Callithrix jacchus: one gene and its partners. The protein of the gene in region 3 purifies or fractionates together with the protein of the main gene of each other region. This does not show direct contact. Links are inferred from orthologs where the notes say so. Each region holds a gene or a part of one and is shown on either strand. Other genes may lie near its edges. The genes, in order: FAF2, ASPSCR1 and NPLOC4.

Region 1 (3,644 bases), on a different chromosome or scaffold from region 3:
CTTACTGTTAGAGACTGTGAAAAGTGGAATCGTCTCTCTACTCGAGAATCATTGGGTAATTTGAAGATGATCTTGACACTTTCAGGGTCATCAGGGGAAGGTTCAGGGGGTAGGCATTCCAACTTCCTTTCCTTTTCCTCTTGTAAATTCTGCACAGATACAAAGCAAAGGTTAGGGTATGGCTCAAGAAATAAATACAATGACCATGTAGCTTTCTTATGCAGTCAGAAGAAAAATTAGTGACTAAGTATTCTAAGAAAACCCTCTTGGGAACAGTCAAAAACAACATAAATTCAAAGTATTATTGCATCTCATGTATTATTTATTGACTATGTCTAGGTATTTAACCATTTGAGAAAAAAGGGAAAGGGAGCAGGGTGCCGTGGTGTGCGCCTATAGTTCCAGCTACTTGAGAGGCCACAGCAGAACTGCTTGAGCCCAGGAGTTTGAGGGTGTAGTGTGCTATAATTGCATTAGTGAATAGGCACTGCACTCCAGCCTGGACAACACGTAAGACCCATCTCTTAAAAGAAACAAAAAAACATAGTATCACATAATATCCTGAGCCAAATAAAAAAATAAAATAAAGAAGGACAAAAAAAAAAAAAACAAAAACAAATAGGCCTGGCCTTGTGGCTCATGTCTGTAATCACAGCACTTTGGGAGGTCAAGGCAGGTGAATCACCTGAGGTCAGGAGTTCGAGACCAGTCTGACTAACATGAAGAAACCCCATCTCTACTAAAAAATACAAAATTAGCTGAATGTGGTGGCGTATGCACAGCTACTTGGGAGGCTGAGACAGGAGAATCACCTGAACCTTGGAGGCAGAGGTTGCGGTGAGTCGAGACCATGCCATTGCACTCCAGCATGGGCAACAAGAGCAAAACTCTGTCTCAAAAAAAAAGAAAGAAAACGGAAATGGTTAAAAGACACTGGTTATAGGTAAGTGGTAATACATAATCAAACAAGATAATGTATGTCTCAGTCTGATTGCTAGGGAACAAAAACAACAAAACAAAAATAAAAAGACAATGAGTAAAACGCCAAATTAGCTAGTACTAGTATTAAGAATTATTTAGGGCCAGGCATGGTGGCTCACACCTGTAGTCCTAGCACTCTGGGAGGCTAAGACAGGCATATCATGTGAGGTCAGGAGTTCGAGAGCAGCCTGGCCAATATGGCAAAGCCTGTGTCTTTTTTTAAATTTTTATTAAAAAAAAGAATAAATATTAAATTGTAGGAAAAATTTAACCCATAATCCCAACATGTTCTAGTTTTTTCTTTTTTTTTTTCTCTTAGTCTGTTTAAGGTGGCTATAATGCTTTCCTTTCACATTTAAGACCAAGATGGCATAGTCTTGGCAGTTTGGAACCATAGGGAACAAAGCCACAGGTCCATTACCCGCCGCCGTCTCTCCTCTGCCAGCTTTTGCTGTTGCACCTCTTCCTCCTTCCGCCGCTTACGCTCCCGCTCCTCCCGTTTCTTTCTTTCTTTCTCCTGGTCGGCCCTGAGAGAGGCCAGGTAGGCCTCATCTTGCTGTTGTCTCAGCACCTGGGTCTGGTTTCTTTCTTCCCTGTGAACAGATTGAAAGCAAGAGAAGAAAAACAGCACTCTCACAAAGTTCTGTTTTCTTATATTGAAATTCTGTGTGTGTGTGTGTGTGTGTGTGTGTGTGTGTGTAAAAATGTTGATATTCTTAGCAGATGACTATTTCACACTGCCATAAGGGATTCAAAAAGCAGAGCATGGCAGAATCTGAATAAGCTACCTTTTTTCTCAGTTTAATTTGACAGAAAAGTAGACAGCAAGCTTTCCTCTCTGTTTTTAAAATAAAACTTTCCCCCTAATTCTAACAAACGTAACACAGTACTGTTATTATAAAGGGATCATCAGTATCATATTTTACATCAACCCCATTTTGGGTTACTGCATTTTTGTACTGCTCTCATAAAACCAAAACACACATATATATATCCATACAGATTGTAGCAGATCTGAAATATGTAGTTTTCAGAGTTATTCAGAGACTCAATAATCAAAGATGAAACACTAACATTTGGCATATCTATCTTCTCCCCAACAAATTTTTGTTTTCTCTTAGCCAAAATATTTAGCCAATCAAAATAGTTGAACAGATGAAACATTCTTGCTTTATACTTTCTTTAAAAATTAAGATAAAATTTACATGCAGTGAAATGCACAGATCTTAAATGTACAATTCAATGAATTTTGATAAATGTAACCACATAACCACCACTTCAAGACTAAACATTTCAGTTACCTCAGAAAGTTTCCTCTTTTACACATTTTTTTATTCAGTTAAAACAGCACTTTATTTATAGGGTTTTGATCTTGCATTTTTCCTTTTTTTTGGGGACAGGGTGTTGCTGTTGCCCAGGCTAGAGCGCAGTGATGCAATCATGACTCACTGCAGCCTCAACCTCCTAGGCTAAAGTAATCCTCCCACCTTAGCTTACAGGTGTGTGCCACCATACCTAGCTAATTTTTATATTTTTTGTAGAGATGGGGTTTCACCATGTTGCCCAAGATGACCTCAAACTCCTGAGTTCAAGCAGTCTTCCTACCTCAGCCTCCTGAAGTGCTGGGATTACAGGCTTGAGCCACCGCGCCCGGCCCCGAACCTTAATTTTAATTTAAGGAAACCATCACAAATTGCAAACAAATTATCTCCATGTATGCTATTTATAATAGCAACAAACTGAAAATAATCTAAAAATCCTGCAAGAGTGGCCTGGTTAAATTATGATGCATTTAGACAATAGAATGTTATACAGTAATTAAAAAAAAATATGGCAGAATAATATTTAATGATGAGGGAAAAGGCTGTGATATATTCTTATATGAAGGGTTGTAAAAAAGTGTTATCCCAATTTTACTAAAAAAAACCTGTATGTATATAGGGTGTGTGTTGTGTATAAAATTAAAAAGAAATATAACAATGTTAATGTGGTGGTAGGATTATCAGTGATTTTATATTTCTTCCTTGTGCTTTTTTGTGGTTTGAGGATTTCTTATGATTAATGTACATAAGTTATGTATTGGAGAGGAGTTATAATCATTCTACCTTTTTTTTTTTTTTTTTAACATTTAGGTGCTTTATATTATATTCAGCTATTCTAAATGCCATAATATACATTCTTGGGCATAGAGGCCTGTCTTTATTTTGTTTATTCATTCATTAATTATTATTTTTTAAAGACAGGAACCTTCACACCAGTCTGGAGTGAAGAGGCACAATCAGGGCTCATTGCTGCCTTGAACTCTTGGGCTCAAGCAATCCTCCTGCCTCAGGCTCCCAAGTAGCTGGGACTACAGGCATGTACCACCATGCCTGGCTAATTTATTTTTTGTAGAGATGGGGGTCTCACTTTGCTGCCCAGTATGGTCTTGAACTCCTGGGTTCACATAATCCTCCTGCCTCAGCCTCCTAACATGCTAGGATTTCAGGTGTTAGCCACTGTACCCAGCCCTTGTCTTTATTCTGAAAATCTCTAAGAACACATTTTCTGATATAGAGTAATTTAGGTCAAAGTATGTAAATATTTTGACAATAAATGGGCAAAGCTAAAAGCTAACAGTGGCCCAATGCAGAGAAGAAGCCAGGATCCGTAGAGTCCCAGGT
Region 2 (3,644 bases), about 320 kb from region 3:
GCCTTGGCCCCAGCATGAGCAGCCCAGGGGGCTGAGACCTCCAAGCAGCCTCAGTTCAGGCAGGCTGGGGCTAGCAGGAAGTAGAGGAGCTGGAAAGCCGGCGAGCACCCCCCTCTGGCTCTCAAAGGCTTATTATCACTGGGCAGCAGCTGCCAGGGCCCTCCTTCCTGACCTCGGGGCCTCATCCTCCTGTCCTGCCCTCCCCAGAGGCCCTGCCCCGCAGCACCCGCAGGCCTCACCCTCCCATCCTTTCCTCCCCGGAGGCCCCACCCCACAGCACCCCAGGAGGGCCTTCAGGTACCTGAAAGAGGGTGCACGAGTAGTTGTCCAGGACTGTTTTTGGAGGGGTGATGACTGAGGACAGAAGGTGCCTATGTATCAGAAAGGATGGAGTCCCGGCCAACAGGCCTGAAGATGGGGTGATGCCTCCCCCTCAGGCTCACGCCCTTTGCCCACACTACTCCTGCTGCAGAAACCCCAGCGGGGGGCTTGGAGGCGCTGGGCAGTGCAGGCCAACCTCCAGGGGACACCACCCACACAGCTCTGCAGCCCAGCTCCCCTCGGGGTGGGCAGCCTAACTCTTTACACCCAGAGGTCCTCCAAAGGAGACCAGCCACTTCCCATCCACCCGTCCTTCCCATAGCTCTCGAGCAGGAGTGGCCTGAGCCCCAGGGGTGCAAGAGGGCTCCAGAGGGCAGCAGGGCACCAGGACAGAACGTGGGAAGCTTGGTTCCCACTGCCCGGCTTGGGAAGAAGGGCCCTGCTGCACCCCTCCCAGGTCCCCACACAGACACCATGGCTGGCAGGAGGCAGCTGGGCGCAAGGCCACAGATGCCAAGAGCGGGCTCAGGAGAAACAACTTACACAGGTAAAATGGCAGCTCAGGGTGCCCCAAGTGGCTCCTCACGAAGTCTCGCAAGTCCCCTACTGCAGAGGAGAAAGAAACACACAGAGCTCTTCCACGATGCCAGCCCCAGGTTGCCCCAGCACCTGGGCCACTGCTCTGACCCTCAGGGCCTTTCCCCTGGGGTGGGAATTCAGCCCTGTTCCTTCCACGGCACCCCAGGTGCTTGGCGGGACACACCTGGGACCCTGCCCTGCTGCAGGAGGGCACTCCCACTGCCAGCCTGTGCTGCCAGCCCCACCCCAGCCACCACCCCAGCTTGAGTGCTTCCCTGGGGGAGTCCCGTGACCCTGGGCTGCTGCCACCCAGCTGTCTGGGGTACAGGTCAGTGAGGAACCTCTGACTGTCACAGCACCTCTGCCCTCCTCCCGGGTTATGGTACCTTCCTCTGGGTGCCCCTCAGCCCCACCCATGTTTAGTAGGTGATGGACGTAAGTACTCAGGACCACAGGCTCCCTGAGCTGGGGCTAGGCACCTGGACCTGCCTGACACTCTGCAGCCCCAAGGGGACCCCAGCAACCCACACCACCCGGTGCCCTGGAGCCTACAGGCCAGGCGGCAGCAATCCTGTGTGTGGCACGGAAGGAAGGAGCCAGGAGGGGCCCCATGGGCCCCCAACCCCATTTCCGGACACCCCGAAGTGCTGCCCACCTGTCTCGCTGGGGCGAAAGAAGCCCTGCAGGATGTAGCGGTCAGGGAACAGGACCCTCAGAGCCACCTAGGCCAGACAAGTGGAGGGGTTAGAAGAACAGCCGAAGCCAACCCAGGGACCAGGGCATGGCTTCCCCACTTGGCCCACGGATACCAGGGCTGGGGGAGGCAGAAGCAGCGGCAGTCCCCCCAAATCAGGGCCCGAGCCTCGACTCCCCCTCGGCAGGCTGGGCACAGAGACAGCGGAATGCCACGTGTGCGTACATCGGCCCAAATCCTAAAACCACATTGACCTGTGTTCAGATTTGCTGTTTAAAGTTTCATCTGGCCGGGCACAGTGGCTCATGCCTATAATCCCAGCACTTTGGGAGTCCAAGATGGGGAGATCACCTGAGATCAGGAGTTCAAGACCAGCCTGATCAACACAGTGAAATCCCAGCTCTACTAAAAATACAAAAATTAGCCAGGTGTGGGCACCTGTAGTCCCAGCTACTTGAGAGGCTGAGACAGCAGAATCACTTAAACCTGGGAGGCAGAGGTTGCAGGAGCCAAGATCTCGCCACTGCGCTCCAGCCTGGGTGACAGTGAGACTCCATCTCAAAATAAACAAATAAAAAAGTTTTATTCTAAATCGTAAGCAGGGGAAGATCAACTGGCTACCACGGGCACTCGTGCCATCACTGAGGGCCCTGGTCCCATGTGGGAGCCACAGGAGCCCCCTCAGAACTGTGCCTCAGTTGTACCCCAAAGCCCTGTCTGCAGACCTTTGGGTAGCGCTCCAGCTTCTCCTTCATCTGCGCCTCCCTGAAGGCCTTAGTCATCAAGGGTGCTTCTTCCAGGCGCTTCCTGTGGGAAGAGCGGGGAAGGAACAGGGCTCCTGGTCAGCATGGGGCACCGGCAACAGGCCTGGGCTTGTCACCTGCACCTGCCAGGGCAGGAGTAGGCTGCTCTCCCCACGAGACACCAAGAGCGGACACCCCCTTTGCCCCCCAACCCTCTGAGGTGCTGTTAAGGGCAGCCTGTCAGGGACCTGGTGCCCGAGGACAGTGGAGGCATGGACCCCCGACAGGGCAAACCCTGGGGCAAAGAAGCTGGGAAGTGCCGAGGGGGACCCACCGCTCACTCTTGAGCTGGGCCAAGCGTCTTCTCAGATCGTCCACCGTCAGCTCGAAGAACTCGTCAGGCAGCTCTGCCGACCAGGCCTGCAGCCGCTCCTCCAGGTCGGGGTGGCACACCACTGGCTCCCGGTCCACAGGCTGCAGGCAGAGGGAGGCTGACGGCAGGTATAACGGGCAGGGCCTCCATGCCCTGGGCTGTTGGTGTCCCCGGCTGAGGCAGTCGCACAGATGTGGGAGCTGGGCCCACTCCCTCCCTGGGCCTGACCAGCACAGGGCCAGGGCTAGGCACAGCAGCTAGGGGCCCCCAACCCACTCAGGGCCTGTTCAGGGCTGAAGGCCCTCCCCCTCAAGCCAGTGCAGCAGCCCTGACGCTGAGACCTAATCCCTGAGGACGCATGGCCCCTGGAGTCTGGCTCAGGCCAAGTCAGGGTCTCCATGGCGGGGGGGAGGGGGGGGTGGCCACAGCCACCTAATTAGAGCATCGGCAAAAACCCCAGGCCAGCTGCCCCCGCTGCCCCCACTGCCCTCCTGGCCACAGCTCCATGGCCAGGCTGACTCCATCCACGCCTGCCCTCAGAGAACAAGCTGGGCCCTCCCTCTGCCCACCCTGGGATGTGGAAGGGACAGCGTCACCCCAATCAACAGCCATGAAATGGACAAAGCCGGGCCACGCAGCTAGAGGCCTGGACAGTGATTTCAGCCCATTCAGTCCAGTGGTGGTGCAGGTGGGACATCTCCGCACTGGGCCTGTCCTCCCTCACAAAACAGTGAGAGTCGCCCACACTCACCCCGTCCTCCCTCACAGAACAGCGAGAGTTGTCCACCCTTGCCCCATCCTCCTTCACAGAACAGCCGAGAGCCGTCTCTAGTGGGTGTGGCCTGGGGAGGGCTCTGGGTTCCCACCTGACTTGGAAGGGGAACCTACCTCCTCGAGCTCTGGACACCTGGGGATGGCATCACAGCCCTGGGAA
Region 3 (4,313 bases):
TTAATATGGTCAGGCACAGTGGCTCACATCTGTAATTGTAATACTTTGGGAGGACAAGGTGATGGATCACTTGAGCTGAGAAGTTCAAGACCAGCCTGGGTAACATAAGGAAACTTCATCTCTACTAAAAATACAGAAGTTAGCCAGGCATGGTGGCACACGCCTGTGGTCTCAGCTACTTGGGGAATTGAGACATGAGAATTACTTGAACCAGGGAGGTCAAGTTTACAGTGAGCTAAGATGGTTCCACTGTACTCCAGCATGGGTGACATAGTAAGACCCTGCCTCAAAAAAAAAAAAAAAAAGAGAGAGAGATTAAAGTTAAAAACAACAATGGTCATTAATGGTAAAATTTAGCAGGGTTTTAAAAAAATATTTTCGGTTGGGCACAGTGGCTCATGCCTGTAATCCCAGCACTTCAGGAAGCCAAGGCAGAAGGATCCCTTTAGCCCCAGAATTCAAGATCAGCCTGGCCAACACAGCACGCTTGACTCCATCCTAATTTAATATGTATGTATTTTATTTATATATATATATATATATATATATTTTTTTTTTTTAAGTATTTTTTTTTCCCATGGTAAGCCTAAAAAGGGGGCAGATCTGGAATACTATGGGACAAAGAGCATTACTTCCTAAGACGACTTCGTTTTTATGCTGATGAAAGCCATTGTGAAGGTGAGCTATAATGCCTAGCCAACAGTACAGGTCCCTGTTCACATAGGGAGGATGAAATGGCATGCTCTGCAACAAACAAAGACCTGCTCCAACCACCTGCAGACGGGAAGGAGGCTGATAGGAGCATGCTGCAAGTGCTGGTGTCCTAGCTTCTCCTCTCAGCAATGACTGGTAGTGCACTGCAGAGCTTCTATTTCTTGCATTATCATCTGTCTTTAGCTCATTTTTTTCTTTTTTTTTTTTGGAGACGGAGTTCACTTTAGTGGCCCAGGCTGGAGTGCAATGGTGCAATCTCGGTTCACTGCAACCTCCACCTGCCAGGTTCAAGCAATTCTCCTGCCTCAGCCTCCCAAGAGGCTAGGATTACAGGAATGCACCACAACACCCAGCTAATTTTTTGTATTCTTAGTAGAGACGGGGTTTCACCATGTTAGTCAGGCTGGTCTCGAACTCCTGACCTTGTGATCCACCCACCTCAGCCTCCCAAAGTGTTGGAATTACAGGCGTGAGCCATCACGCCTGGCCTGAAGACCGATTCTTGACACCTGGTAAAACTGCAGAGACTGTCACAATACTACAGCATGAACATTACTCCTCACCCAGTACTGCTCAGCTTCCCCCAGAAATCCCAAACCTTTCTTAATACTAATCAAAATTCGGCTGGGCTCAGTGGCTCATGCCTGTAAGTTCCAGCACTTTGGGAGGCTGAGAGAGGCAGATCACCAGAGGTCAGAAGTCCAAGACAAGCCTGACCAACATGGCAAAACCCAGTCTCTACTATAAATACAAAAAAATTAGCCGGGCGTTGTGGCAGGCACCTGTAATCCCGGCTACTCAGAAGGCTGAGGCAGGAGAATCCCTTGAACCCGGGAGGTGGAGTTTGCAGTGAGCCGAGACAGGGCCACTGCACTCCAGCCTGGTCAACAAAAGCAAAACTGTCTCAAAAAAAAAAAAAAATTAACCAAAATTCTGTCCAAGAGTCAGTTAATTTTTCCCCATCACATTTACTTTTGGGGAACAGCTTCTCACAAGTTAACGAGGGGCTGGTTTTCCCTGATTTTTCACTGACATTTTTTACCTTGGTAGGGATGACAATTCGTTTTTCCTTTTTTTGGAGATGCAGTCTCACTCTGTTGCCCAGGCTGGAGTGCAATGGCACGATCTCGGCTCACTGCAACCTCCACTTCCCAGGTTCAAGCGATTCTCCTGCCTCAGCCTCCCAAGGAGCTGGGATTACAGGCGCCAGGCACCACGACCGGCTAATTTTTTGTACTTTTAGTAGAGACGGAGTTTCGTCACGTTGGCCAGGCTGGTCTCGAACTCCTGACCTCACGTGATCCACCCGCCTCGACCTCCCAAAGTGCTGGGATTACAGGCGTGAGCCACTGCGCTCGGCTGACAATTCTCAGTTTCAGGTAAAAAGTTAAATCAACCTCATTTATGACATTCCTTTTAAAGAGGAGTTGTCAAGTTTTCCTTCCTAGAAGGAGCAAAGCCGGGAAGTTACTGCGTTTTCATTTTCCCAGCTCCACCGGCGGGGAGGGAGCTCTGTAACGTCCCCGTCTGCAGTTGCTCTCCTCAGTGATTCATGACAAGGCACTTGCTGGGAAGGGGGAGAGCGGTAGAAGAGAATCGGAGGGAGATTGGGGTAAGAAGTGGCCCTGGCTCTGAGAGGGGCAGGACTAGCTGGGAGTCCCTGGAACTGGACCAGGAAGTCTCCTGGAGCCGGGAACCGGGTGAGGAAGGAGGGCGGTTTCTCTTCGGCACAGTCAATTCTCCCTGCAGAAAGCCTCGGCCTTTCCCTGCCCAGGGCGGGGAACCGGGGTCGCGAGTCCGCCGGGAAGGGACAAGGACGGGAAGCAGCCGAGGGGGTGAAAGTCGCCGAGGGGGGCCCAGCCTCTGCTGAGAAAGCCCGGGTGAGAAAGGGGAAAGGAACCCGGTCGCGGGGCCGGCAGGCCCGCCTCCCCAGCAGGCCGCGGCCGGCAAATCTGCTGCCTCATCCCGGCGTCCCCGCTCCCGCCCGGCTGCCGCACTCACGATGCTCTCGGCCATGGTGGCCACTCCTGCCTCCGGGCTCGAGTCCCGGGCCGCCGCCGCCTGCTGCCCCAAGGGCCTCGCAGACCCGGCCGCGGCCTCAGACCCGGCCCCGGCCTCCCTACGCCGCCGCAACCGCCGCTCCAGCTTCGCCCGCCCGGCTCCGCCAGCCGCCGACGTCCTGGTGCCTCGCTCAAGACTCTCCCCTAGGCGCGCGGCCGGGAAACCAGGTTCCGGTCCCAGCAACGACTGGACGCATGCGCAGGGTGGTGCCGTGGACCCGCCTCCCCTCCCGGCACCGCGAGGAGGCGAATTTTGGAAAAATGCCCCGTCGATGACAACAAATGCTCGTCCTCGGAAACGCAAGCTGTACAGAAAAGCCCAAAAAGGAGGCAAAGACAAGCATCCGAAATCTCACCCAAAAATAGCTACTGCTGCGTATTACAGCGAATTATAATTGGGGAAATAGCATTCCAAACTTCCCTCCATGCACAGCTAAGGAGAGAAACAATTTCAGGGAGAGGACCACACCTTTGTTATTTTTTTTAAGTCTTTTTTTAAATTTAACATGAGACGGGAGCTGCGGTGGCTCTGGCCAGTTGTCCTGGCGCTTGAGGAGGCGAGGCTATGAGTTCAAGGCCAACCTGAGCAACATAAGAAGCTCTCATTGATTAACAAAAAAAGAAAAAATAAAAAAATTTTAACATGAGAAAAACAAATGAATAAAAAAACTACATTTCAGACCGGGCGCGGTGGCTTACGGCTGTAATCCCAACACTTTGGGAAGCTGAAGTGGACAGATTTCCTGGGGCCAGAAGTTCAAGACCCAGCAGGCCAACATGGTGAAACAAAATTAGGCCAGGCACGGTGGCTCACGCCTGTAATCTCAGCACTTTGGGAGGCGGAGGCAGGTGGATCATCTGAGGTCAGGAATTCGAGACCAGCTTGGCCAACATGGTGAAACCTATCTCTAATAAAAATACAAAAATTGAGGCCGGGCGCGGTGGCTCAAGCCTGTAATCCCAGCACTTTGGGAGGCCGAGGCGGGTGGATCACGAGGTCAAGAGATCGAGACCATCCAGGTCAACATGGTGAAACCCCGTCTCTACTAAAGATACAAAAAATTAGCTGGGCATGGTGGCTCTTGCCTGTAATCCCAGCTACTCAGGAGGCTGAGGCAGGAGAATTGCCTGAACCCAGGAGGCGGAGGTTGCAGTGAACCGAGATCGCGCCATTGCACTCCATCCTGGGAAACAAGAGTGAAACCCCGCCTCAAAAAAAAAAAAAAAAAAAAAATTACCCGGATGTGGTCTTGCATGCCTATATTCCCAGATTCTCAGGAGTCTGAGGCCGGAGAATCACTTGAAGTTGTGAAGCAGAGGTCACCGTGAGCGGAGATGGGGTCACCCTTCTCCAGCCTGGGTGACAGAGCAAGACTGTCTCCATCTCAAAAAGGAAAAAAAAAATTAGCTTGGTGAAGTGGCTCATTCCTATAATCCCAGCTACTCAGGAAGCTGAGGTAGTGAGGTAAGAGAATCACCTGAGATCAGGAGGTCAAGGCTGCGGTGAGCCAAGATCATGCCACTGCACTCTAGCCCAGG

Evidence for each region.
Region 1: the proteins of NPLOC4 (region 3) and FAF2 purify together in Homo sapiens (affinity purification with mass spectrometry; 3 studies listed by BioGRID and IntAct, with this or other methods). This does not show direct contact. The link is inferred for Callithrix jacchus from reciprocal best matches to the Homo sapiens genes NPLOC4 and FAF2.
Region 2: the proteins of NPLOC4 (region 3) and ASPSCR1 purify together in Homo sapiens (affinity purification with mass spectrometry; 3 studies listed by BioGRID and IntAct, with this or other methods). This does not show direct contact. The link is inferred for Callithrix jacchus from reciprocal best matches to the Homo sapiens genes NPLOC4 and ASPSCR1.

What each region holds. Positions count from the first base shown.
Region 1 is NC_133503.1:69,712,240-69,715,883, forward strand, and holds part of FAF2 (FAS-associated factor 2), read right to left. Parts: intron 1,575-3,644; coding exon 1,403-1,574; intron 150-1,402; coding exon 6-149; intron 1-5. UniProt on the Homo sapiens protein: Plays an important role in endoplasmic reticulum-associated degradation (ERAD) that mediates ubiquitin-dependent degradation of misfolded endoplasmic reticulum proteins.
Region 2 is NC_133506.1:137,613,750-137,617,393, reverse strand, and holds part of ASPSCR1 (tether containing UBX domain for GLUT4), read right to left. Parts: intron 2,812-3,644; coding exon 2,672-2,811; intron 2,402-2,671; coding exon 2,320-2,401; intron 1,623-2,319; coding exon 1,556-1,622; intron 928-1,555; coding exon 865-927; intron 372-864; coding exon 302-371; intron 1-301. UniProt on the Homo sapiens protein: Tethering protein that sequesters GLUT4-containing vesicles in the cytoplasm in the absence of insulin. Modulates the amount of GLUT4 that is available at the cell surface. Enhances VCP methylation catalyzed by VCPKMT.
Region 3 is NC_133506.1:137,290,032-137,294,344, forward strand, and holds the start of NPLOC4 (nuclear protein localization protein 4 homolog), read right to left. Parts: upstream 2,908-4,313; 5' UTR 2,731-2,907; coding exon 2,716-2,730; intron 1-2,715. UniProt on the Homo sapiens protein: The ternary complex containing UFD1, VCP and NPLOC4 binds ubiquitinated proteins and is necessary for the export of misfolded proteins from the ER to the cytoplasm, where they are degraded by the proteasome.